Alligator mississippiensis: one gene and its partner. Each later gene encodes a partner of the first gene's protein in a complex. Links are inferred from orthologs where the notes say so. Each region holds a gene or a part of one and is shown on either strand. Other genes may lie near its edges.

The links.
Region 2: POLR2B (region 1) and GTF2H5 share a complex: the UniProt entries of both Homo sapiens proteins name them as parts of the TBP-based Pol II pre-initiation complex. The link is inferred for Alligator mississippiensis from reciprocal best matches to the Homo sapiens genes POLR2B and GTF2H5.

Annotation. Positions count from the first base shown.
Region 1 is NC_081825.1:140,545,226-140,556,664, reverse strand, and holds the start of POLR2B (DNA-directed RNA polymerase II subunit RPB2), read left to right. Parts: upstream 1-6,943; 5' UTR 6,944-7,055; coding exon 7,056-7,074; intron 7,075-7,920; coding exon 7,921-7,993; intron 7,994-8,503; coding exon 8,504-8,654; intron 8,655-11,439. Other genes in the region: NOA1 (nitric oxide-associated protein 1), read right to left, coding at 761-925, 5,175-6,198. UniProt on the Homo sapiens protein: Catalytic core component of RNA polymerase II (Pol II), a DNA-dependent RNA polymerase which synthesizes mRNA precursors and many functional non-coding RNAs using the four ribonucleoside triphosphates as substrates.
Region 2 is NC_081824.1:136,361,509-136,372,840, forward strand, and holds the start of GTF2H5 (general transcription factor IIH subunit 5), read left to right. Parts: upstream 1-6,620; 5' UTR 6,621-6,719; intron 6,720-10,967; 5' UTR 10,968-11,050; coding exon 11,051-11,085; intron 11,086-11,332. UniProt on the Homo sapiens protein: Component of the general transcription and DNA repair factor IIH (TFIIH) core complex, which is involved in general and transcription-coupled nucleotide excision repair (NER) of damaged DNA and, when complexed to CAK, in RNA transcription by RNA polymerase II.

The DNA of each region.
Region 1 (11,439 bases):
CTTCATTGTGGGGCTAGCCAGCAGGCAACCCCTGCACTGAAGCACCCTCATGCCCCAGCCAGCTCCATTAGTATCTACATGTGTGTTGTGGTGGAGTAAATAACTCCGCTGTAGGATAGTACTTGTATCTGGCAGTACTTTCCAGAGGAATTAATTAGTTTAATCCATCCTAAAAGCACTGCATGTGTAGATGGTGACATTTTACTATGGAGCTAATTAGTCAGCTCTGCAGTAAAGGTCTCATGTAGATTTGCCCAGTATGTTACAGCTACCTACAGGGGAGCCAATGCGAGTTCCATTACACTCAGCATGGTACCAATACTTGTAATCCAGATTGTTTTTAATATTTAGAGCCTTTCTAAACAAGTATTTGATAGAGCTGCTCATGTGTATTTGATGATGTGCATCTTTGCAGAACAAGGCCTTCTTTTTGCAGCTATTACAAACTCCACATGTGTTTGTAAGAGATTTCAAGAAAGATTCTGCTTTCTACGCTGAACTCTCTCTATGGAAAAGTGGTCTGTAGTTCAGGACTGCTATGCAGCTATGATATTCTGAGGCTATGCCTCATTTATTTCCCTTTACTTGCACAAGCAGTCTTACTAGGAGTCTTTCAAATATTAGCGGAGTTACAGAACATGATCATAGGTATTACATATGCCAGAAATTAGAACACCTGTCTAATCTACTATACAGTGAAGTAATGCATCATTTGCATCTGAGATCAAGTATCAATACTTTTCCCATAAATAATACTCACCTATTAAGTAGCCTTGCTTTTTAAAGTAATTCAAGGTTTTTTTTTCATCTCTACTAAGTTGTTCTTCATCTTTTTCTGCTTCTGCTTTCAGTCTCTCCTTCCTTCTGAATATTCTGTCAGAAGTAGGGTTGATAAGTGGAAACTTCAGGAGGTTTAAGGTCGTTCCTAAAAAACAAAATCCACACCATCCAAATGTATGACTACACTAACACAACGCAAGTTCAGTAGAAAAACACACTTTGATATTACGCCTGAAAAAGAGGGAAAAAAGCTTCCTAACCATAAATGTTTGCAGGTTATATAACTGCTTCAATTTTCTGCACAAAAAGGAACAGGCATACAATGAGAAAGTTAAAGTCAGCTAACAGAACAGCTAATAGCTGTGCTCAGAAATGACCAGTCACACTGGCCAGGATCAGCTCAGTGAAATTTCACTGTGTTTGAAGGAAGTTTTCAGCAATCATATTAGTTGGACTGTTAGCAAACAGCACAGACAGATGATGCTCTTCAGTTACCATCATATTAGCTCACCATGATTAAATGCTGCCAAAACATATTTAGTACCAAGTCACTTAATGTGATTGCTAGAAGCCATCTTCAGAAATAATAAATTTGCGTAGTGTAGACAAGGCCACTACGAACCAAACTTTAAGTCAAACCAAAACTCTTGTGGATTTTTAGGGACAAGAGCTGTTGAAGAGCTGGCTATAAAACAAATCTCATTGAAAAATGACAGGTGAGAGTTGCACACACATCTCTCTGCAACAACTACTGTGGCTTCAACAAATTCTGTGTTGACTTCTGTTATTAGTGCAGGAATGTGTTAGTGGGACTAGAAGAAAGGGAATCCTAGAACTCCAGATTAGTTTTGAACCCTTTCGCACTCTGGTGCATGTCATACAGAGATAGCACCCAAGAACCTGACATTTTAGCAGGAAGAATTGCCTGTGTGTGGGACCATGGTACAAATGCAAAAAAAAACCAAAAAAGGCAGAATTCTACGATGTTTATTTCACCATTAAAAGCTTACTTCTCCTGCTATTATCATAATTATTATTTATGGGTATTTATTTTTCCAAAATGGCTTATAAAGATTTTTGAATAAGTAATGGATCAAGTTTATAAAAAGTAAAATGTGACATTACTTAAGAAACTCGCATTTTGCTTCCAGTTACTTTTTTCTGTAAAGCACTGTAGTTTTGTTGAGACTGATTTTTTTTTTTTTATATTCATTAGCCAACACATTTTAAAATCCCAGCGTAGACAGTCACATATATTAACACGTATTAAAATAAAATTGCAAAGTGACATTTTGGAAAAAGCTGGGGGGGAGGGTAGGTCAACATTTTTGAAGGTAAATAACACTGACCAAGATATGACAGTTGGATAGCAAACCAGTAGCCTCTGAAATGAAAACAGTATTCCCTGCCAAGGTCTGGTCTCTGAAATCACTGATGAGGCTCTTAGCATGAAGGCAAAGGTCTGAATGAGCCTAAGAACAGAACTATCTTCTCACCAGGAATAAGTAGACATGAGACAAACTGCTGAGTTTGCAGAGTCACGTCTGTGCCTCTCTCATTTACCCTATATAAAGTGCCTGAGCTCCCACCCTACCTAAGACATCAGAATATTTTTCTTCACAAGGGCCAAATCCACTCTGTAACAAAATCAAAAGTGGGGGACCTCCGTTTCAAAGCACACTGCTTACTGTTGGATAATGCAGGCAAACATATTGCTTTCCCCCAAGTAGACTTAGTATCATGTGTTTGGCAAAGTTATATATAATATGCTCAAGTCTAGGCCAATGCCAACAAATCGACATCACTAAAGGACCAGATATACATTTAAGGGTCTCTATCCTGACTTAAAACTACCAGGCTTAAAAGTTAAATAGAATACTCCATTTCTAAAGCTCTACAGGTCATCCTTCTTCCCTCCCTACCCTTCCATGCCACAGCAGGCCTGGGAAAGGAAAAAGTGGTGGTGATGGATCCTCAAGTGCTGCTGCCCATGAAGTCCTGGAATGAGGGAGATGGGGGCTCCGGTGACACTGCCTGGGAGAGGAGTGCATATGAAGAATTCCTGGAGATGCAGGAGGTGCTGACTGCTCGGCGTGGGAGCTGCAAAGTACAGAATCTTTTCTTGTGAATTTCTGGAGAAGCTGAAAGCTTCACATAAGCAGGCAGCATTTCATGTAAGTCTGTAACCCAATCTCAGACAAGGCTCTTCAGCAAAAACTCCTGTAATAAGTCGCAGGCATCTTACTAAAGCTTATACATCTCTGATTTAGTTAAGTCTATAGGGTGCATCTCCACCCTCTGCCTTCAGCAGTGTAAGTCAGACACACGCACACAGGTAAAAAGGGACAGGACAGGGAGAGATCAAATACTGAATGACAGGCCAGGAACACTAAAATATTAGGAAGTGCCAGAATTAAGGTTTCTTGTGCAACCTTAATTCATTCCCCAGTGTGTATGCAGTACATCATAATCTTTAATTATCTATCACATCCTGTTTTTTGCATTGATCCCTTGCCTCATTCACTGTCCATGTTAAATGATACCCACTGAATGGGTAGCTGTATGTTTCTTTGGTTACTTGTGCAGCTGTAACCTTTATTTATTACACAGCATCTAAAGCCTGCACTGAACACAGAATTACACATTTTCTCTTGGGCACTTCCAAAGGTAGTTTGCAAACATTTGTGAATCTATCTTCACAACAACTCTGTGAAAAAAAAAAAGAGAGTAGTATTATTTCCAATTTACAGATCAGAATCTGAGGCAGAGATGAAGGACAAGTAACCAAGTGTCTAATACTCTGGATGTCTACTTTGAGATGGGTCCAGCTTTTTTCAGTTTGTAGAATTATGTAACACTTTCCATGCAAAGTTATAGCTAACTAAGGTGAGTGCCCAACAGTTCTGCATATCAAGGTCCTGGTAACTCAACCAGGAGTGATGCATGATTAGTGTTCAACAGTGTACATTTTGGTTTAAGTATCAGTACTAGTATCACAGAGGAAGTCTTTAGATGGGATCCAGTTTTCAACTGCCAGAACCACTAAGCCGTTCCTTTTCTTCTGTTTCACTAACTGGATACCTTCCAATTTCTAAAACAAGGGACCCAGAAATCACACAGCCACCTGCATCACTACTACACAACCCTTGCAGCACTGTTTTCCTTCCTGTGCACTGTACAAGGAAGGGGTCCATTTGCAAAAAACAAACAAACCACATAATAGGAGACAAACCTAAGGAGAGTCAGGATAAAAGACAGGCCATGAGCTGGGCCATATTATTGGGCTTTCTTTATGTTCTGAGTTTGTGCAGCATCTTGCACAATGGGGTCCTGGTAGGTGACTGGGCCTTCAACATAAGTTATTAGCACACTGGGTCAGACCAGTGGTCCATCTAACCCAGTAGCATATCTCTGACAGTGACAGGAGTGGATGCTTTAGAGCACTTGTGTCGAACAAACTGGGTCTCTGGACCAATCCTACGTGCTGGCCCCAACCCTGCAGGCTGCATGTGGTGTGCAGGCTAGACTCCATACCATGTGTGCTGGGGGCAGCACAGGGGGTCAGTCCATGGCACTACATGCAGCCCATGCCTCAGACCCTTGGGATCCTGCCTGTGCTCTGCAGACAGCGTGTGCCATGTGCTGGTCCTGGGGGCCCTGTGCACAAGTCCCAGGGCCAACACATGTTGCATATGGCACTCCGGGTTGGACCAGCCATGCAGGCTGCACGTGGCACAGGGGGCCGGCTTGGGAGATGCACTCCATACAACGCCCTTCTAGACCTGGACTCAGCATGCAAGGCCAGTCAACAGGACATCACATAGAGAGTGTTCCCTGTACCAACCCCATGCTACATACAGCATTCATGGCTGGTCCAGTGCTGTGTGCAGCATATAGTAGCCCTGAGGCTTGCTGTGCATGCAGCCCTGGGGCTAGCATAGGGTGTGTGCTGCCCATGGCAGGTGGGCTGGACCTAATACTGCATGCAGCACAGGGGGCCTGAGACACAGGCTGCGTGCAGCACCCCAAACCAACCTCCCATGCTTCCTTCAGCATGTGCCACAATTCAGCCCCAGTGGCCAGCGCATGTTGTATGGGGCTGGATCTGGTGCTACAGCCACTCCACAGGGGGTTGGTCCCAGCCTGGCCCATAGAATAGCTCAGGTATGCTCATCTACCCTGTGGGGCCCTACAAGTTTGACACCCCTGCTTTAGGAGAGAGCTGAACAGGGTATATCTAGAGTGACCTGTCCCATCATACCCTCCAACACATCCACCATTGGTTCAGGGAGGCAAGTAACAACAAAACAAATAGAAAATAAAACCCAAAGACAACTTGGCCCAGAAGGGCTTGCAGCACAATGGGACAACAGACACAAGTCCCCAGCTCTGACCTGGCCAGGGCGAGACGGTGGCTCTGTTGACCACTTCTGAGGCTCTGGATTTGCAGTAGTCGGACTGGAGCAGGGTGTTGAAGAGGGTGGACTTGCCCGAGTTGGTGGCACCCACAAGATACACATCCCCATTGCACTTCCAGGAGCCCTGCAGCTTGGAGATCAGCTCCTCCACCCCATAGCCCGTCTTGGCGCTGATCAGGTGAATGTCCACCAGGTGCTGCCTGCCTGCTGAACCCCTGATGCCTTTGGTGACAGGGTGGATGCCCGCCTGGGCACAGTTAAGCAGCAGCTGCTTTCGAAAGCGCTTCAGGTAATCATGTGAGTCTGGAGGCAGCAGGTCTACCTTGTTGCCCAGGACCATTATGTTGATGGTGGGGCCCAGCAGCTCGGGTAGGTCGGGCAGCAGCGTGTCAGGCAGGTCCAGCACATCGGCCACGTAGAGCACCAGTGGGGCACGGCCGTGGCGGGGCAGCTGGCGCAGGGCGGTGCTCACCAGGCTGCGGTACTGGTCCCGTGACACCTCCAGGCGCAGTGCCTGCTGGTGATGTACCAGGAGCCAGCAGCGCTGGCACACGGCACCCCGCAGCCCTCCCTGGCCCTCAGGCTCCCCCAGCAGGGAGAGGTATTTCTCACTGGGCATGTAGCCTGGCATGGCAGGGTCCTGGCAGTGCAGCTCTGCCCCGCAGCCCGAGCAGCTCACACTGCTGGTTGGCATGGATGGATCTGGCTGCCCCTTTGGCCTGTGCTGCCTCCGCTCCTGGCACCGCCTCTCCCGGGGGGGCTTTTTCGGCACCACCTCAGTGCCCCATGGCTTCTCCAGTTCCTCCGGCAGGTACTCTGGGAACACGAAAAGTTCCTCCTCGTTGCTGCCAGGCCCCAGGAGGTCCCACGGCACGGAGGCCAGCCCAGCAGGCAGTGGCTGGCAGCGCAGCCCGGGCCGCAGTTTGAACGGGGTGCCAAGAGCTCGGGCCCGGGCCTGGGCCCCAGCCACCAGCAAGCGGCGCAGGCAAAGGCGGTGCATGGCCGCGGCGGTAGCTGCCACCCGCGTGGGGAGCCCGGAGCACGCAGCGCGGGGCGGGGCGGGGCGGGGCGAGGCGGGGCGGAGCCGCTTGGGGGCGGGCCACGGGCTCTGTGCCCCGGGCTGGGCTGGGCGCCCAGCTCCCGCGGGGGGAAAGTTCCGCAGCGGCTGAAGCCGCCTTTGGGGGCGCTGATTCCCCGCCGCCTGCCCTGCCTGGCACACAGTAAAGGTGGAGGTTCCAAGTTGGAATCCCGAGTGTCCCCAACATTCGGGACAAAGGCGCAGGTTTCAGATGGGAATCCCGAGTGTCTCCCGGCTGGCAGAGGCAGAGCGCACAGGTCTGCAGCCAGAGATGCAGGGGGATGCACACGCCGGAAGGAGCTCGCAGGGAGTCACAGCGGAGCCCCCGCCGACAGACGTACCTAGTGGAGCAGCAGGCGGGGCAAGAGGAGCCCCAACAGTGCACCCTCGGGGAGCTCCCCACCCGAGGCTGCTCTGCCTGCAGGACTCCGGGTGGCTCGGCCCAAATTTACACCCCCCTTCTCCTTCATAAAGAGTGGTACGCGCTAATCGGCGCGGAAAGTGAGCACAGCGCATGCGCGCATACCAAAGCTTTCCCCTTCCCGTTTCTCTCTGGTGGGCGGAGCTCAAAGGCTCGGTTTCTTGCTCAGCCGTAGTACCGACCCGGAAGTAACGCAAGGACGTAACGTAGCCCGCGGAACTGCGACCGGGGAATTGGCGCAGCCGCAGTGCTCCCAGCGCATGCGCACTCCCTGCTCGGCTGTCTGGGGAGCCGGTGGCGCGCCGCTGCTTTCTTTGCTTGTCTTGTTCCGAGCTGTCCCCTCGCCCCAACCGCCGCCATGTACGACGCGGACGAGGGTGAGTGCGCCGCGCGGGCGGGGGGAGCACCGGGGCCCACTCTTGCCTCAGTCGGGGGGAGGCCTGTTCCGTTCCGGGGCGGGGAAGAGAACGTGGGTTTGCTCTGCGCCCCCCCTCCCCTCCCCTGGCGCATCGTGCGCCCGCAAACCTGTGCAGAACGCAGCGACTTCTGGGGGGAGGTTGGAACTCGTGCACCTTCAAGGCTTTCAAAGGGCAGCCTGCCAAACAGGAGTAGAGCAGAGCTGACACTGCTTCGCTTCAGGGAGCTGCCACATGTAGTGTGCCAGATGCAATAGGGGCTCCCCACCATCCAAAGCCGCCTGGGGATGGGGTTGCTCCTGCAAGTCGGGGTCACACAGGACTGGCCTAGTGTTTTTTCCCCTGGTCAAGAATCAGTGGCAGCGAGGAGCCAGTGTTTTCTGAGGGGCTGTGGCATCGGAAGAAAGAAATGCCAAAAGGTGGAGAGCTGGTGATGTTGAGTGGGTTGCCAGGGCGGGCATTGTTTTTCTTGGATGTGGGCCCCTGAAGGGGCATCCTAGCTATCAGAAGCAGGGAGCCTCCAGCCCCTTCCCTCAGTCTTTGCATTGAGTTCAGACTGACTTGCTGGTATTCACCTTTTACTGGTATTCACCATACCATTGCCTTTTCCTCCTTTCTATTAAGGACCAATGGACGAATAAAGACTTCTGTATTCAATTTGAAATACAGGGCAATGTAGCCTTGCCTGTTGTATTAAGTTCATTGGAAAGCTGTATGTAAATAAGTTTTTTTTTCTGCTAATGGATATCCAGTGTATGGACACATGATAATTCTTAGTCTGATTTCAGTGTTTTGCGTTCTTGTCAGATATGCAATATGATGAAGACGATGATGAAATCACTCCTGACTTGTGGCAAGAAGCATGCTGGATTGTTATTAGGTAACTTTCTGAAACTTAAATAAGGCATTTTGGTAGTAGTTGAGGTTGACCTTCTGATATGATACATTTCATCTGGAATTAGATGGAAATTCCAGAACTGCGTCTAGAATCATAAATGCTGTCACTTTAAGAATACAAGACCAGCTGAAAAGCGGTACACAGCTGCTTTATGTGTAAATTGCCAAAGATTAGTTGTTTTGCAATTCTGTGTCTGGTTAATGGGGAAGATAGTTGTGGGAACTCGGTGCAGTTTTTTTTCCTTAGGATACACTTAGTTTACATGTTAGATCCTGTTCTGTGTCCTGGCAATTCCTCTTGGAAGGGCCATATTTGAATACTCTGTTAGGAGAAGAAAATAAACAAATTCATTTCATATTTCAGTGATTGGTTTTGAAGAGACAGTACATATTTTGTGGATTTTTAAACATGGCTTCCAAAGTATCATATTTTGTTTAAAAAAAATAAAAATTCTTGTTCAGTAACTGAATGTACATTGTTTTTTCCCCTAAGCTCCTACTTTGATGAGAAGGGCTTGGTCCGACAGCAGCTGGATTCTTTTGATGAGTTCATCCAGATGTCTGTACAGAGAATTGTTGAAGATGCACCGCCTATTGATCTACAAGCTGAAGCTCAGCATGCTACAGGAGAAGTGGAAGAGCCGGTAAGAGGAGACCTTGTAGAGTCTCATTGTTTTTCAGGTGTACTGACTAAAATAGTATTTACCTCAATCAGCTGATATTACTCTTGTTTCACAAGAATGGAAATGCTAGTTCTGTTTCATCTTTTAACTGTGTATTTCTGCAGTGCATAAAGTCTCCTGCCACTTGGAAAGTTACTGTGTCCTGCTACTTCTTTTTTTCTTTCATCAGAAGACCAAGAATACAGTTAAATGGCTGTAGCAGCAGGCTCTCAGTTACTGCGATGTCATACAATTGCAAGGAAATATGTTATTGACAGAGGACAGTTAGAATGAGCAAGTAATCAAACGTAAGATTGAAAGGCTGGTCCAGAATCTCAATATTCTGTTGGTTAGGAACCTTCTAATTAACAGCTTACACTTATTTACGGATAATTTATACCCGTGTGTTCTTGTAGGTTAGTATTGTTAGATGAAGGCTGAATGGGAATCAGACTGCTGTTTTGCTAAATCGAGCAAGCCAATCAAACTTCCTTTTCCTCTTAGGTGAGGTGTGTCTCAATTTCCCTGTGAGTAGAGAGCCTATGAGGAACAGAAACAAGATCTAATTAGTAAAGACGGTTTTCTCTTAAAGGTTAAGTGCTATAGGGATAAATTACAAATTGCCAAAGTCAGTTTGAGTTAGATGTTGCAAAGGATGTTAAAACAGATAGCAAGAGGTTTTGTATGTGTACATGTGGATCCCACTCATGGTAGCTAAAAGCTCATTTAAGTAAAGACTTTGGAACTGGCAAATCAAGCTAAGCGTTTGACCTAGAAAGCTGACACCAGAGGTTAGTTAGTGACGTTTAAATTGAGCCACTGTTAACTGCCTTAAATAGTTCAGCTATTGGAAATCTGTCATAGAATGCTGCCAAAGCATTTTCTGGTGTAGCAGAGTAAGCTGTAATATTATGTAGAGGGGCAGTCCTAGTTTTAAGCCTGTGAAGCTAAACAGCCTTTGGGTTTGCTACCAAAGGCAAGTGGCTTGGCTCCTCTGCATTTACATTTTGCCCTGCGTACTGCTACAGAAAAGTTATAGAATCAGAAAATTAGGGTTGGAAGGAACCTCAGGAGATCATCTGGTCCAACCCCCTGCAAGTTCTAGTGATACCCAAGGAGTGCAATTTTGTTTCTCAGGAAAAAATACCCACAGTTAAGTGGGTGTATTCATATGTAAATACAATACCACTTTAAAAATGGAATTAGGGTGTGCTACCAGAAAAGACAGGGGGATTATACCTTAGCCCAGTATTGCTCACCATATCTCACCAGATTCCTCACAGTGATCCTTTGTGTTGGTTATGCTTGACTTGCATAACCAATTTTCATATGTCAGTGAATCCACTGCACAGGAAGTACATCAGCCTTCAGTTCCTGGCATCTGAAAATCATTACTGAGTTTCAAAATGCTCCACTTAGACCAGGGGTAGGCAACCCCTGGCATGTGTGCCATTGTGTGGCATGTGAAGCCATTTTGGTCGGCATGAACACCTCTGGGCGGATGGTGGGGGAGCCATGAGAGGCCGAATCCTTGTTGTGGCAGTGCAGCCCCAATCCCATCCCTGCTGTCAGCCCCAAGGCACACATGCATCCACTGCCAGCACCAAGCTGGGCTAGGGCTCTGTGGACTCCTGTGCAGCTGCTTGCAGCCTCCTTGCCATCTGCTGCAAGCAGCTGGGGCTCTACGGTAGGTGGCAAGGGCCTCCCCAGAGCCTGGGTTGGCTTTGGCAGGCAGCCTGGAGGCTGTAAGCAGCTATATCAGGGTCTGTGGAGCCAGACACAGCTAGTTGCAGGCGGCAGGTGCATGCATGCCTCGGGATGGGTGGCAGGGAAGATCAGCTGGGGCCGCACTGCCACAATAAGGATTAGGCCCTTCATGGTTCCCCTGCTGTCTGCTTCGGCACGCCAACATCTTGTAAATCCAGGTTGTGGGTGTTTTTGGCACCCTGACTTAACCCTTTCTGCTGCCCCTAGCGTAATTAATAAAGTGTGTGTCTGGCAATGGGGCCACATGGACACTTGTACGAAACAACTTTTTCTTCAGTAACTCATTCTTTGGGATGTTTTATACGTGAAAATCCTCCAAAGCTTGTCTTCTGCATTCTAATCTAGAAAGAAGCTGAGTGGCGATTATTGGCCCAATCTTTGTGTCTGAAGAGTGGTGATCTTGAGGGCATGCAGTATGTGTCGCATCTAACAATTTCTTGTGGCTAGTTGTACGTTCACCATGAGTGAGGTCTATATAGACAGAACATCTCGAAGAATTAGTTGACTAATCAAAGATAAATTAATCCAAGCAACAATTGTCCTAACTTAATGTGGAGGTTGATGATATTGTCTTTGAACAACTGGAGCTTTATTTGAGAAACATGACTCTCAGTTGAGGTAAAAGGAATGTATTGCTTCAGGATCTTATTTCTATGAGGTTTAAAATAAAACTACAGTAGAATGATTTTCGAAAAATTTTAATTGCTGAAAGACGTATTTTCTCATACTTTCATTCAGAGTAACAGGTAAAGACTTCTGTGGAAAGCAAAGCCTTTAAATATGATTGGGATGTGTATTATACAGATACCTTTTTCCAAAAGGAAAATTGTATCAATTAGTAAGAATTGGAATATAAATCTTTTTCATTCATAAATTTGCTACTGTTGAGCTATAGCAAATCAATGTGAACAAGATATACGTTTAAAAGAATCATTACATTCTGTTGTTTAATAGACATTTGCATTTAACAGACTTAGAAACTGTCAAATCATTTTTGAAA
Region 2 (11,332 bases), on another chromosome or scaffold:
AGAACTCTATATACACACATGAGAGGCATAAATGTAAATGAAGATATGGCACATCTTGTTTCAAGAACCATTGACAAGAGTTAAGAAATTCTTATTTGGGGGAAAACACCTGGAATGAATCTTAAAAGGCAAAAACTATAGGTAAACTCCTACAAGACATATATTCTTAACCAGGATTAGAAGAAATTGATTAAAGTATAGGACAGAAAATGCATTGCCATGTTTGTATATTATACAGCACTGTCCGGTAGCATGAATGCTTATTTGTGAAAGCCTGAATTTTGGAAATCAAGAGCCTAACTGAATCTCTTTTCTCATGTATGCAGAACCATTGCTCGACTATGGGCATGTCCACACGTGCATTAATGCATCTTTTCTAATGTGCATTAAATGTAGTACCTCCAATGTGAGGTTCTAAATTAATGTACATTAGGTGCAGTAGCGCATTTGCACACCTTTTTAGTGACACTATAGTGCGCAGTAGACTATTTTAATACTCATTAGCATAATGTCATAGTTTTTTACATGATGCCTTAATGCGCAGTAAAATAGTCTACTGTGTATTAAAGTGCATGTGTAGACGTGCTCTGCGTTAACAAGAAGGCAGGTCACAGTGAAGAGGAAAGGAGAGCGCACCTTGACTGCTCTGACACATAGGGAGACTTATTCCGCGCATGGGACAGGGCTAATGCAGATTACTTTTTTGCTTGAAGAAAGGGGAAACCAAAGAAGGATCTATGACTGCATCACACAACTTGTCTTCTGAGCTGCTCAGAAGGGTAGGAATGTTTGTAGGGTAAGTGACCATCACTCATTGCATGCCTTAACATAACATGTACAATTTGAATTATAACCAGGCATGAACTCCTGCATGAACAACATATGAAAAGATGCCATCATCAAGTAATGGAAACACACCCCTATTTTTTTTTTTTTTTTTTTACTGTAACAGTAATCACATTTTATATATTACACTGAGTGCTTTATGGCAAATCTTAAAACATGCTTAAAGTGTTTCCAGCATATTTTGAATACATTTTTTCTGGTAGAAGGATGGACTGTAAGAGAATATTTTAGGTAGGCTTTAACTATTGATACATTGATAATACATGTTGATGATAATCTTAAAATAGAAACAAAGACAAAAAAGTATAAATATGCCCCTGTGTGTGCTGCAGTAATAATATGGAAGTATTATTTTTCTGATGCAACAATATCATCAGATACTTGCACTGAATAAGTTACATAGGCTTCATTATCAATTCATTTAAGACATTAGATTAGTTATAAAACTCAAGTCACTTCAGCCATGTCATATATTTAACAAATATATAAATATGGTGGGAAGATACAAGTATACTTTAAGTAAAATTAAGACACCATATTACAAAAACTACAACTCAAAATGACAATCTGAAGGAGACGGTGGCGATTAGGGACAGTCGGCATAGGTTCACCAAGAGCAAATCATGCCTGACCAACCTGATTGCCTCCTATGATGAGGTGACTGGCTCTATGGAGGCGGGAAGAGCAGTTAATGTGATATCCTTGACTTCAGCAAGGCTTTTGATATGTTTTCCCACAACATTCTCGCAGGCAAGCTAAGGAAGTATAGGCTGGATGAATAGACTGTAAGATGGATAGAAAACTGGCTGGATCATTGGACTCAGGGAGTAGTAATCAACAGCTCTATGTCTAGTTGGCAGCCAGTATCATGTGGAGTGCCCCAGGGGTTGGTCCTAGGGCCGGTTTTGTTCAGTATCTTCATCAGTGACCTGGATGATGGGATCAAGGGCGACTTCAGCAATCTTACAGATGACACCAAACGGGGGAGTGGAAGATACATTGGAGGGTAGGGCTAGGATTTAGAGAGAACTTGAGAAATTGGAGGACTAAGCCAAAAGAAAACTCATGAGGTTCAGTAACGGCAGGTACAAAGTTCTGCACTTAGAATAATCCTACGCACTGGTACAGGCTGGGGACTAACTGGCTAAGCGGCAGCTCTGCAGAAAAGGACTTGAGGGCTATAGCAGACAATAAGCTGAATATGAGCCAACAGTGTGCCCTTGTTACAAAAAAAGCTAACAGCATAATGGGCTGCATTGGTAGGAGTGTTGCCAGTAGATTGAGGAAAGTGAGTAGTCCGTTCTATTGGGCACTTGTGAGACCACATCTGGAGTAGTGTGTCCAGTTTTGGGCCCCCCACTACAGAAAGGATGTAGACAAATTGGAGAGCCCAGTGGAGGGCAAAAAATAAAAAACAGTGAGGAGGCTGGGGCACATGACTTATAAGGACAGGCTGAGGGAACTGGGCTTATTTAGTCTGGAAAAGACTGATGGGGGATTTAATACCAGCCTTCAACTACCTAAAGGGTAGCTCCAAAGAGGATAGAGCTAGATTATTCTCAGTAGTGGCAGATGACAGAACAAACAGCAATGGTCTCAAGTTTCAGCAAGGAAAGTTTAGGTGAGATGTTAGGAAAAACTCTCTCACAAGGAGGGTAGCAAAGCACTGGAACAGATTATCCAGAGACATGGTGGAGTCTCCATCCTTGAAGGTTTTGAAGACTTGGCTAGACAAAGCCTTGGCTAGGATGATATAAGTGAGGATGGTCCTGCTTTGAGCAGGGAATTGGAGCAGATGACCTTCTGAGATCCCTTCCAACTCTAACTTTTTATGATACTATGAATACTAGCATGCATGGTAATTATGTCTAGGACAGTGGTTCCCAACCTTTTCTATACAGCAGACCAGCGGGGGTGGGATGGGACGCATGGAGCTGGCTGCCTCCCTCCCAGGCTTCCCCGTTGCCGAGCTTTATCCCTGCACGTGACTGCCAGCAGAAGCCACTTGCCTGGGTAGACAAATGGGAGTCACGACTCGGCAGCCAATCCTTCGCAGCCCAGTACCGGGCCACAGTCCAGTGGTTGGGAACCTCTGATCTAGGACATACTTTTCCAGGTTACTTACAAGACTGGCATGTAGGACTGAAGTCCAAATATTTACAATCACCATTTTTACCTTATGATCCAAATCAAGTTATCCTGTAAAAGGAGCAAAGATTTGGCATGATTTGCTCTTAACAAATCCATGTCATCTGTCAGTGATCAATATGTGCATAAAACAGTCAACCTGTTAGTAACTTCCTTGGCACTGATGTCAGGCTGACTGATCTTATACCTTGCTGGGTCCTTCTCTTTCCCCTTTTAAAAATGGGTAGTACAGTATGTAAGCCTTACCAGTTGTCTGGGACCTTGCCTGCCATCCATGATCTTCATCTATTATTGCCTGTAGCTCTGAGATTTTTTTCAGTGAGATCCTTCAGTACCCTTGGTTGAATACTGCACAGCCTCCTGACTTAAATTCAGATTAGTCAAAAATTCTCTACTATATTATTTGCTTAACATGACCGGCATCCTTCCTGTTCATTTATTATATTAATTCTGCTATTTTTTCTTTGGGTTGGTTGTTTTTGGAGTGGGGGTTTTTTGTTTGTTTTTTCTCTTGTGAAGGCATTGGACAGTTCCACCTTCTTTGAAATTTCCATTAATAGTTTACATTCTTTGAGTAATAGACCCACAGGCTTCTTGGTCTCTCTTTTTTAGTTTTTCCTTGTCTGATGTATGTGTAGAAATCTCTCTTGTTGTCTTTAACATTTCTTGCCAGTTGTTGGAAACCTTTGGCGATTTTTTGCCTTCACTTTTCCCATGTTTGTCATTATCTGTCCACCTCTACAGATGCATGCTTTTCTTCCCATTGCTGGTATGCATCAGTTTAGATCTACCATGGCAGCCAATGCAGCAACATTGGTCTCTTATGGTGCTTGTTATCTTCTTTTTTCATGGGAATAGTCTGATGCTGAGACTATTAAAATTATGTCCTTTTTCTTTTAATTTGCCTATTCATTGTAGCTTACCTACTATTTCTAAAACATGGTTCAAATGAACCTTTTGGAAGTCCAGCATCCTTATTTTGCTGCTCTCCTTCCTTCCTTTCTTTAAAATAATTCTATGGTATCAGGATCACTTCCTCCAAAGACGACTAAAACAGATTTGGTGCTACTGTAGACAGCTTGCTAGCAATGGTTACTATTTCAGCAACATGATGCACTTCTTACCACCCATCTTCCTCCACAAAGGGACACAACACAAGGAAAAATGCTGACCATGTCAATAACTGGTCCCTTTGAGGGACTTTTGCTTTCCATTTTCTTTTGTTTAAAATAAATAAAGAAAAAGCAGCACCCAAACCAAAGACAGTTTCTTCACCTTCCTTCATACATTCATAATAACCAAAGGCTTAAAACACACTACTTGAGCAGTTAAGAAAAAATATGCACTGCAGCATGAAAGCAGTTGCCTTTCCTTTCATCTCTAGAGAACCGTTTCAGTTAATGGTCCAATCCTAACTTCAGAAAGTTTTTTTTTTTATACACCACTTAATCACAGAGTGTAGTTGCAGCAAGCACAGTGGATCTGTGACTGTGTGACAGAAGCCACTACAATTCCCTACACTGCTCACATGGTCCATTTGGAAACACAAAGACAAAGCAACTAGTGTTTCTCTGCAATTAATGGTCTTTGGATTGGGCCCCTGAGGAGCAACACTGCATGGAAATCCAGGAGGACGGGAATGGGTTGGTTAATCTGGACAGGAGACCAGGTCTGCCTCCACCTGCAAGAAGCATTGTTAGCATGCTGAATTTTTGGTTGTAGTTGTGTAGGTCTAAGGACATAGGCACATAAGGTTTTTTGAGTAGATGTGATATCTTTTATTAGACCAACTGAGTAGTTGGAAAAAAGTTCTTAGAAAGCATTTGGGGGCAATCACCCTTCTTAAGGCATATGATTTTCTAGTTCTTAGCTAGTCTGAAAGCTTGCTAAAAACTTTTTTCGAACTACTCGGTCTAATAAAAGATAACACATCTACTCAAAAGAACCTTGCCTTGTTAACATACTGCATTTTTTCCACCAGTGGATTCAGACAGCGGTTAAAATTTAGGGTGTCTCGTGTCGTTATCCTGACCTCGTACTCTCCAGAGCAGTCGAGGACCATGCCAGCCTTCCACTGACATCGGGGACCTGGAAATGACAGCACCACACAAGCGGCACAGGGCTACATTCATCTCAGGCTGAACTTGCTCACAAGGCAGCAGCCCAAAAGAGGAGGAGCGCCCTGTCCGCTCTGACTTCTGAAGTGTCTAAGGGGATTTAAAAAGCCCAAGCCAGGCCTCTTCGTACTTTTACAAGGAATCCATAACATGTTGAAAGCTAACATGTTTTCTCCCCTACAACGCATTGTGAGGTTTGACCTAGAAACTACTATGCAAAGCCCAAGCAAAAGTGAATGTTATGTGACGAATGCCCATCTGCAATGATAAGGAGGAGACAGTCTTAGATAAAGGAGGCTTGAAAACAAAAGCAGAATCAGAGTACTGGGTCAAAGAGCTCATTAAAATACTAAAAATCACACCCCTAGGTGGGGAAGAGGTATGCTAATGAAACATACATGTACGTTAATGAGATACATAGCTAAAACACAGGTATAGAGACATGCTCAGTAAAGAACTCCTTGCGTCACTCCTTTATAGCCAATTAGCAAACAAGGATGCTTATGAAGGTCTAAAATCCCTGTATAAAAGGGGCTTAGAATTAGAAATCTGGTGTGCTTGTTCTGTGAAATTATTCCGCTTGCACCTTTTATTGCTAGCAATAAATCTTGTTTATACTTTCACCCCTGGTATCTTTATTGGCCTTTGCATACCGGGCACAATCCCAGACTTGAGCTGGGGCTCAACAGCATCTCTTCTCCTGCAAAAATCAGCCCCTCAAAATTGGGGCACGTGTATTTAGCAGGTAAAGTGACTTTTCTGTTTGGTGTAAAAGCACCCCGCTTCGCCTGCAGCTCCATCACCATGCCAGTACTCCTCCTTTTCCAACAGCTGAGGGCCATTGGCTCCAATGGCTCATTGCTTTTCACTCCACAGGGATTACCAGCTGTTTGACGCTCCACTAATCAAGGGCAAGGTTTCTGCCTGCTCCTGGGCTCGCCTCCTATTTCAGCCTGGAGTCGAGCAGGAAAACAAAGGGGGGGGCCCAGTCAGCCCAAGACTGCAAACTATATATTTTGCTCCCGTTCAAGATGCCTTCCCAAAGCAAAGGGCTGCTTATATACTGGGCGCATGTAGTATGAGGAAATACAGCAGGAAGCAGGGCGAGTATACGCAGCGGTTTACAAACTCAAACGGCCGCAGAACGCTGGGGACACGTGACGCAAAGCTACGCGCCGGGAGGGGGAGGGGCCTCGCGCAGGCAGAGAAAATCGTCACTCACGGAAGAGTCCATTCTCGGCGATGGGGTGGGGCGGGTTTCATCCCTAAAGGGGGGCTTGGAAACCCTGGGCTTTGCCCAGACTCCTCCCCCTCCCCTCAGGCTCCGCCCTCCAGCCGCGCCCGCGCCTTACCTGACCCGCAAGCCGCAGCAGCATCCCTGAGCACGGCCTTCCTTCCAGCCTTACTTCCGGCAGGTCAACGTGTTCGATGACGTCATCAGAGCGTCTCTGCGAACCCGGGCTGAGCGCGGAGGAAGTGGGTGGGGAGAGGGAGGGCGTTGAGGTTGCGCATGCGCATGGGTTGCACGGGAAGTTTGCTTTCTGTTTAGGAACCGGGCGCCGGAGGCGGCGGCCGGGGTTCTACTGTCGTCGGCGGAACCAACGGCCGGTAGGTGGGGGAGGGGCAGAGCGAGGCTCCCCAACCGCCACCCGTCACGTGGTGGGCGCGGGGGGAGGGGCGCGCGGCGCCGGTCCTGCTTCTCAGGCGCGGAGGGGCCTGGTCCTCTTGGCGACACAGGGGTTTAAGTACACACGTGTGTACAGCCCCAAAAGTAGACACGCGTTCAAGCCACATGCAGACATGCGCGTGCACACTGCTGCGTTTCCTCATGCCTAAGCAGATGCACTGGCACATGCATATCTGCAGCCATATGTGTAGACAGATACATGCGTGCATTCAGGCATGAGTATAGCTGTATGTACAGGCCGGCCCATGCATGTCAAAGCACATGTATAGACACACGCACATGTGCATTTGTATATGCATGTGTACAGAGACGATCTGAGCAGGGTGCGGGGCACAGGGCAAATCAGGCTTTGCGGGGCTCTGCCTCCAGACGCGAGAAAGCGGGTAGCAGATTCCGGGGGAGGGGGTGCCAAGCGGCCGGACATGAAGCCAGCGTTAGTGCGGAGTTGCCGTGGCCACTCCTCCCTGCTCTGCGGGGCCCAGGGTGGTTTCCCCAATTTGTCCCCTACTAGGGACGGCCCTGCATGTGTATAGACAGATATGTGCACACATACAGGTGTACATCCTCGTGTATATACAGGCACACATACATGCAGGGCTGTCCCTAGTGGGGAGCGAATCGGGGCAATTGCCCCGAGCCCTGTGCTTTGGGGTACCCTGCGGAGCCGGGCAGAGCGGCCATGTGAAGCCGGCGACAGCGTGGAATCAGCATCTAGCCACTTGGTACCACGCCCCCTCCTCCACCGCCAAATCCGCTGTCGGCTTCCTGGTGTCTGGGGGCAGGGCCCTGCACCTATCTTGAGTCATTTCTGCGCACGCGTGCATGTATATATCCACAAGCACAGATATACATGCGTAAGTGTACATTCACAAACACAGACGCACAACGTCTATTTTCTTGAACAGGGACCAGAACATCCCGCCTACCAGAGGTAGGGACAGTCTTGGGGATAGCTCTGTCAGGCCTTCAGTCAGTGCAGACGTAGTTAGGGATCTTCTGGAAGGGCTAGACATTTTAAAATCTGCAGGTCCAGATGCCTTCCACCCAAGGGTGTTGAGGGAGCTGGCAGGGGTCATCACGGAGCCCTTGGCCTGGCTGTATGAGCGTTTGTGGTCATCTGGTCAGGTGCCGGGGGATTGGAAACTGGCTAATGTGGTCCCGATTTTCAAGAAAGGGAGGAAGGAGGACCCAAGTAACTATAGGCCTGTAAGCCTCACCTTGGTGCTCGGGAAGATCTTGGAGAGAATCATCCAGGAGCACATCTGTGGGGGCCCTGCAGGCGAGATCATGCTCAGGGGCAATCAGCATGGGTTCATCAAAGGCAGGTCCTGCCTGACCAACCCGATTGCCTTTTATGACCAAGTAACGAAATCCTTGGATGATGGTGTCGCCGTGGACGTAGTCTTTCTAGACTTTAAGAAGGCCTTTGACACTGTCTCTCACCCCATCCTCATCAATAAATTAAGTGACTGTGGCATTGATGCCTGCACAGTTGGATGGGTACAAAATTGGCTGATGGGGTGGACCTAGAGAGTAGTGGTGAATGGGTCGTACTCAACCTGGCGAGATGTGAGCAGTGGGGTACCCCAGGGTTGGTCCTTGGGCCGGCACTGTTTAACATCTTCATCAGCAACTTAGGTGAGGGGGTGGAAAGCACGCTGTCCAAATTTGCTGATGACACTAAGATGTGGGGTGAGGTGGACACACTTGAAGGGAGAGAGAGGCTGCAACTAGATTTAGACAGACTATGAAAGTGTGAAGATGAGAATAGGATGGGGTTCAACGTAGACAAATGGAGGGTGCTGCACCTTGGGAGAAGGAATCCACAGCATACATACAGGCCATTGCCAGACCGCAGCCAACAAGGCCAGACCGCAGCCAGCAAGGCCAGCCATACCTTGTCATGCATCCAAAGGTGCATCTCAAGCCAGTCCAGAGAGGTGATAGTCCCCCTCTATGCAACTTTGGTCAGGCTGCAGTTGGAGTACTGCGTCCAGTACTGGGCGCCGCACTTCAAAAGGGATGTGGAGAGGGTTCAGAGGAGGGCCACCCACTTGGTGAGAGAGCAGCAGGGCAGGCCCTATGAGGAGAGACTGAAGGACCTGAACTTGTTCAGCCTTAGCAAGAGGATACTGAGGGGAGACCTAGTGGCTGCCTACAAGCTCATCAGGGGAGATCAACAGCAAATAGGCAGACCACTTTTCTCTCCAGCACCACCTGGGGTGACAAGGAACAATGGTATTAAGCTGATGGAGAATAGGTTTAGGTTAGAGATCAGAAGGCAATATTTTACAGTTAGGGTGGCCAAAATCTGGAACCAACTTCCCAGGGAAGTGGTCCTCGCCCCTACCTTGGGCAAATTCAAGAGGAGGTTGGATGATCACCTGTCTGGGGTCTTGTGAACCCAGCATTCATTCCTGCCTGTGGCAGGGGGTCAGGCTAGATGATCTGTTCAGGTCCCTCCTGACCCTAGCTACTATGAAACTATGAATGTATGTATACATCCTCAGATAAATACACACACGCGCATATGTATCTATTCACAGGCAGACAGACATGCATGCACACACTTATTTAGCTTCTAGTGATGGGTGTCATTTGTGCCCTAAAGCTTGTGCCACATCTCTCCTACCTGTCCTGTTGGGGTACTAAAAGAGATCACCAAAAATTGCCACCACCCCGGCTTTTCCCATCTTTACTGAGCATCATTGTGGCTCCAGCAAGGCTCCAGCCCTTTTTTGGTTCTGGCAGTTCTCAGCCAACAGCGTGAGCTGGATTTAATTTAGTTAGGTCTTTGCTTGCTTTTTGTGTGTATGGTTTATCTCAGGATGGTCTGGGCATGTGCCAGTGCAAACTCTGAATGTCCACTTTGGTCAGTAGAGAAGTCGGTAGTGTAACATAGAGTGGACAAGCAGGGCACTTGTGCCCACAAGGACTGCTTGCCTCTGTCTCTGCTGCCTACCCGCCTCATTTCCTGCCTCTGACATACATTGCCAGTGCCGGAAATGGGAATTATAGTTTTGTAGAGCTGATCTCCATTTTTTTGCTGACAAATTCAGCCTTCTTTCTTGCTCTCTGGACATAGGCTTTGGAGGCAAAAAAATGGGCTGAAAGTTTCTCCTGGGAGTAGCAAACTCCACTGCCAGTCTGAAGAACTATTATTTCCAGAACACCATGCACTCCATGACACTGTTGGCTTTGGATTTAAGACCCAGAGGCCTTGGTTGGGGGCTGGGGGTGAGCACCCTAAGACTGACCACAACCTTTCCATTTGATAATAAGCAAATTTATTGATACACAGTATTAGGAGCAACATTCAAGAAATTGTATACATCTGCCTTATCTTAGTGCTGTCATTAAAGTACATCTAGCCAGGATGCAGTCTCCACTCTGATGCTCTCTCTTAGGTGTCCTATGTCAGCAGTCTGGAGGTGGGATGCTGAGGCCTATGCCCCATCTCTAGTGGGGTGGATGAGACGGGCTGGTGGTGTGCCCTCTGTCCATGGTGGCCTGGGTGACCCTTCCTGGGAGACGGGGAGGAAGGACCTGGGATAGGATGGGGAGGAAACCCTTTGTTACTCTCAAGTCTCTGCTTTTGTATTCTCCTTCCCTCCTGATGACTCTTCATCCATGGCTATCATTGATTGGTCTCTCTCTGTGGTCAAATGTCCACGTAGCTTTCCGGGCCTTCTCCTGATTTGATCTGTTCCCCCAAAACCGGGACCTAGGCTTCCCTGCTCTGGGGCCTTGTTAGCTGGTGCCTCTTTAACTCGTGTTATGGGCAGTGTAATACATAATCCCTCTGTTCCCAGATTGTTTTCCAGACTATAGGTTCTTGTTTGCCTTGTTGTGTTAGACAACCTGTCTGCTTGCAAAGCTGTGTGATTGTGTGACCCAGACTCTTAGAAATCAGTTAACCCCTGCTGCCTATCTTGAACCTTTCTAATGCATAGATATATATATATATAGATATATATACATACCTGTAAGCCAATTCCCAAAAAACAAACCTTTAAATGCCTGGCTCTCTGTTCTGTTTTCCATCTGCAACTAAGAAGGTAGGAGAGGAGGTGGGGAGAGGGTGAAAGGCAGCTGCCCAAGGTGCATTTTTTCCATGATATGCCTTTGGAAAATGTTATAGCCTGACTTCTTTGGTTTGGTCTGTTTAGGTTTTCACCAATCACACACAGATTCCAGAGCCAGACCTGCCTTCATTGACTGCCCCTTCTGGCCTTTGTAAAGTGGTGAGAAGATGGTGAATGTCCTGAAAGGCGTTCTTATAGAATGGTTAGTTGTCAGGTGTACTTATTTTTCTTTTATTAGTAGTAGAAGTAATACTAAAGCTTAAAATATTTCAGAACCCATGAACACTTCAGTTCCTGCTCCAGGGATGCCATCATAATTAAGATGTGGAATAACAAGCAGATGCAAGAAAATCATGGGAAGGGGAAAGAAAAGCATGGGTTACACAAATTGTTTTCATTGCTTTTCCATCTGTTTGCCTTCTCCTTACACTTGCTTATTTTCTGTTTTT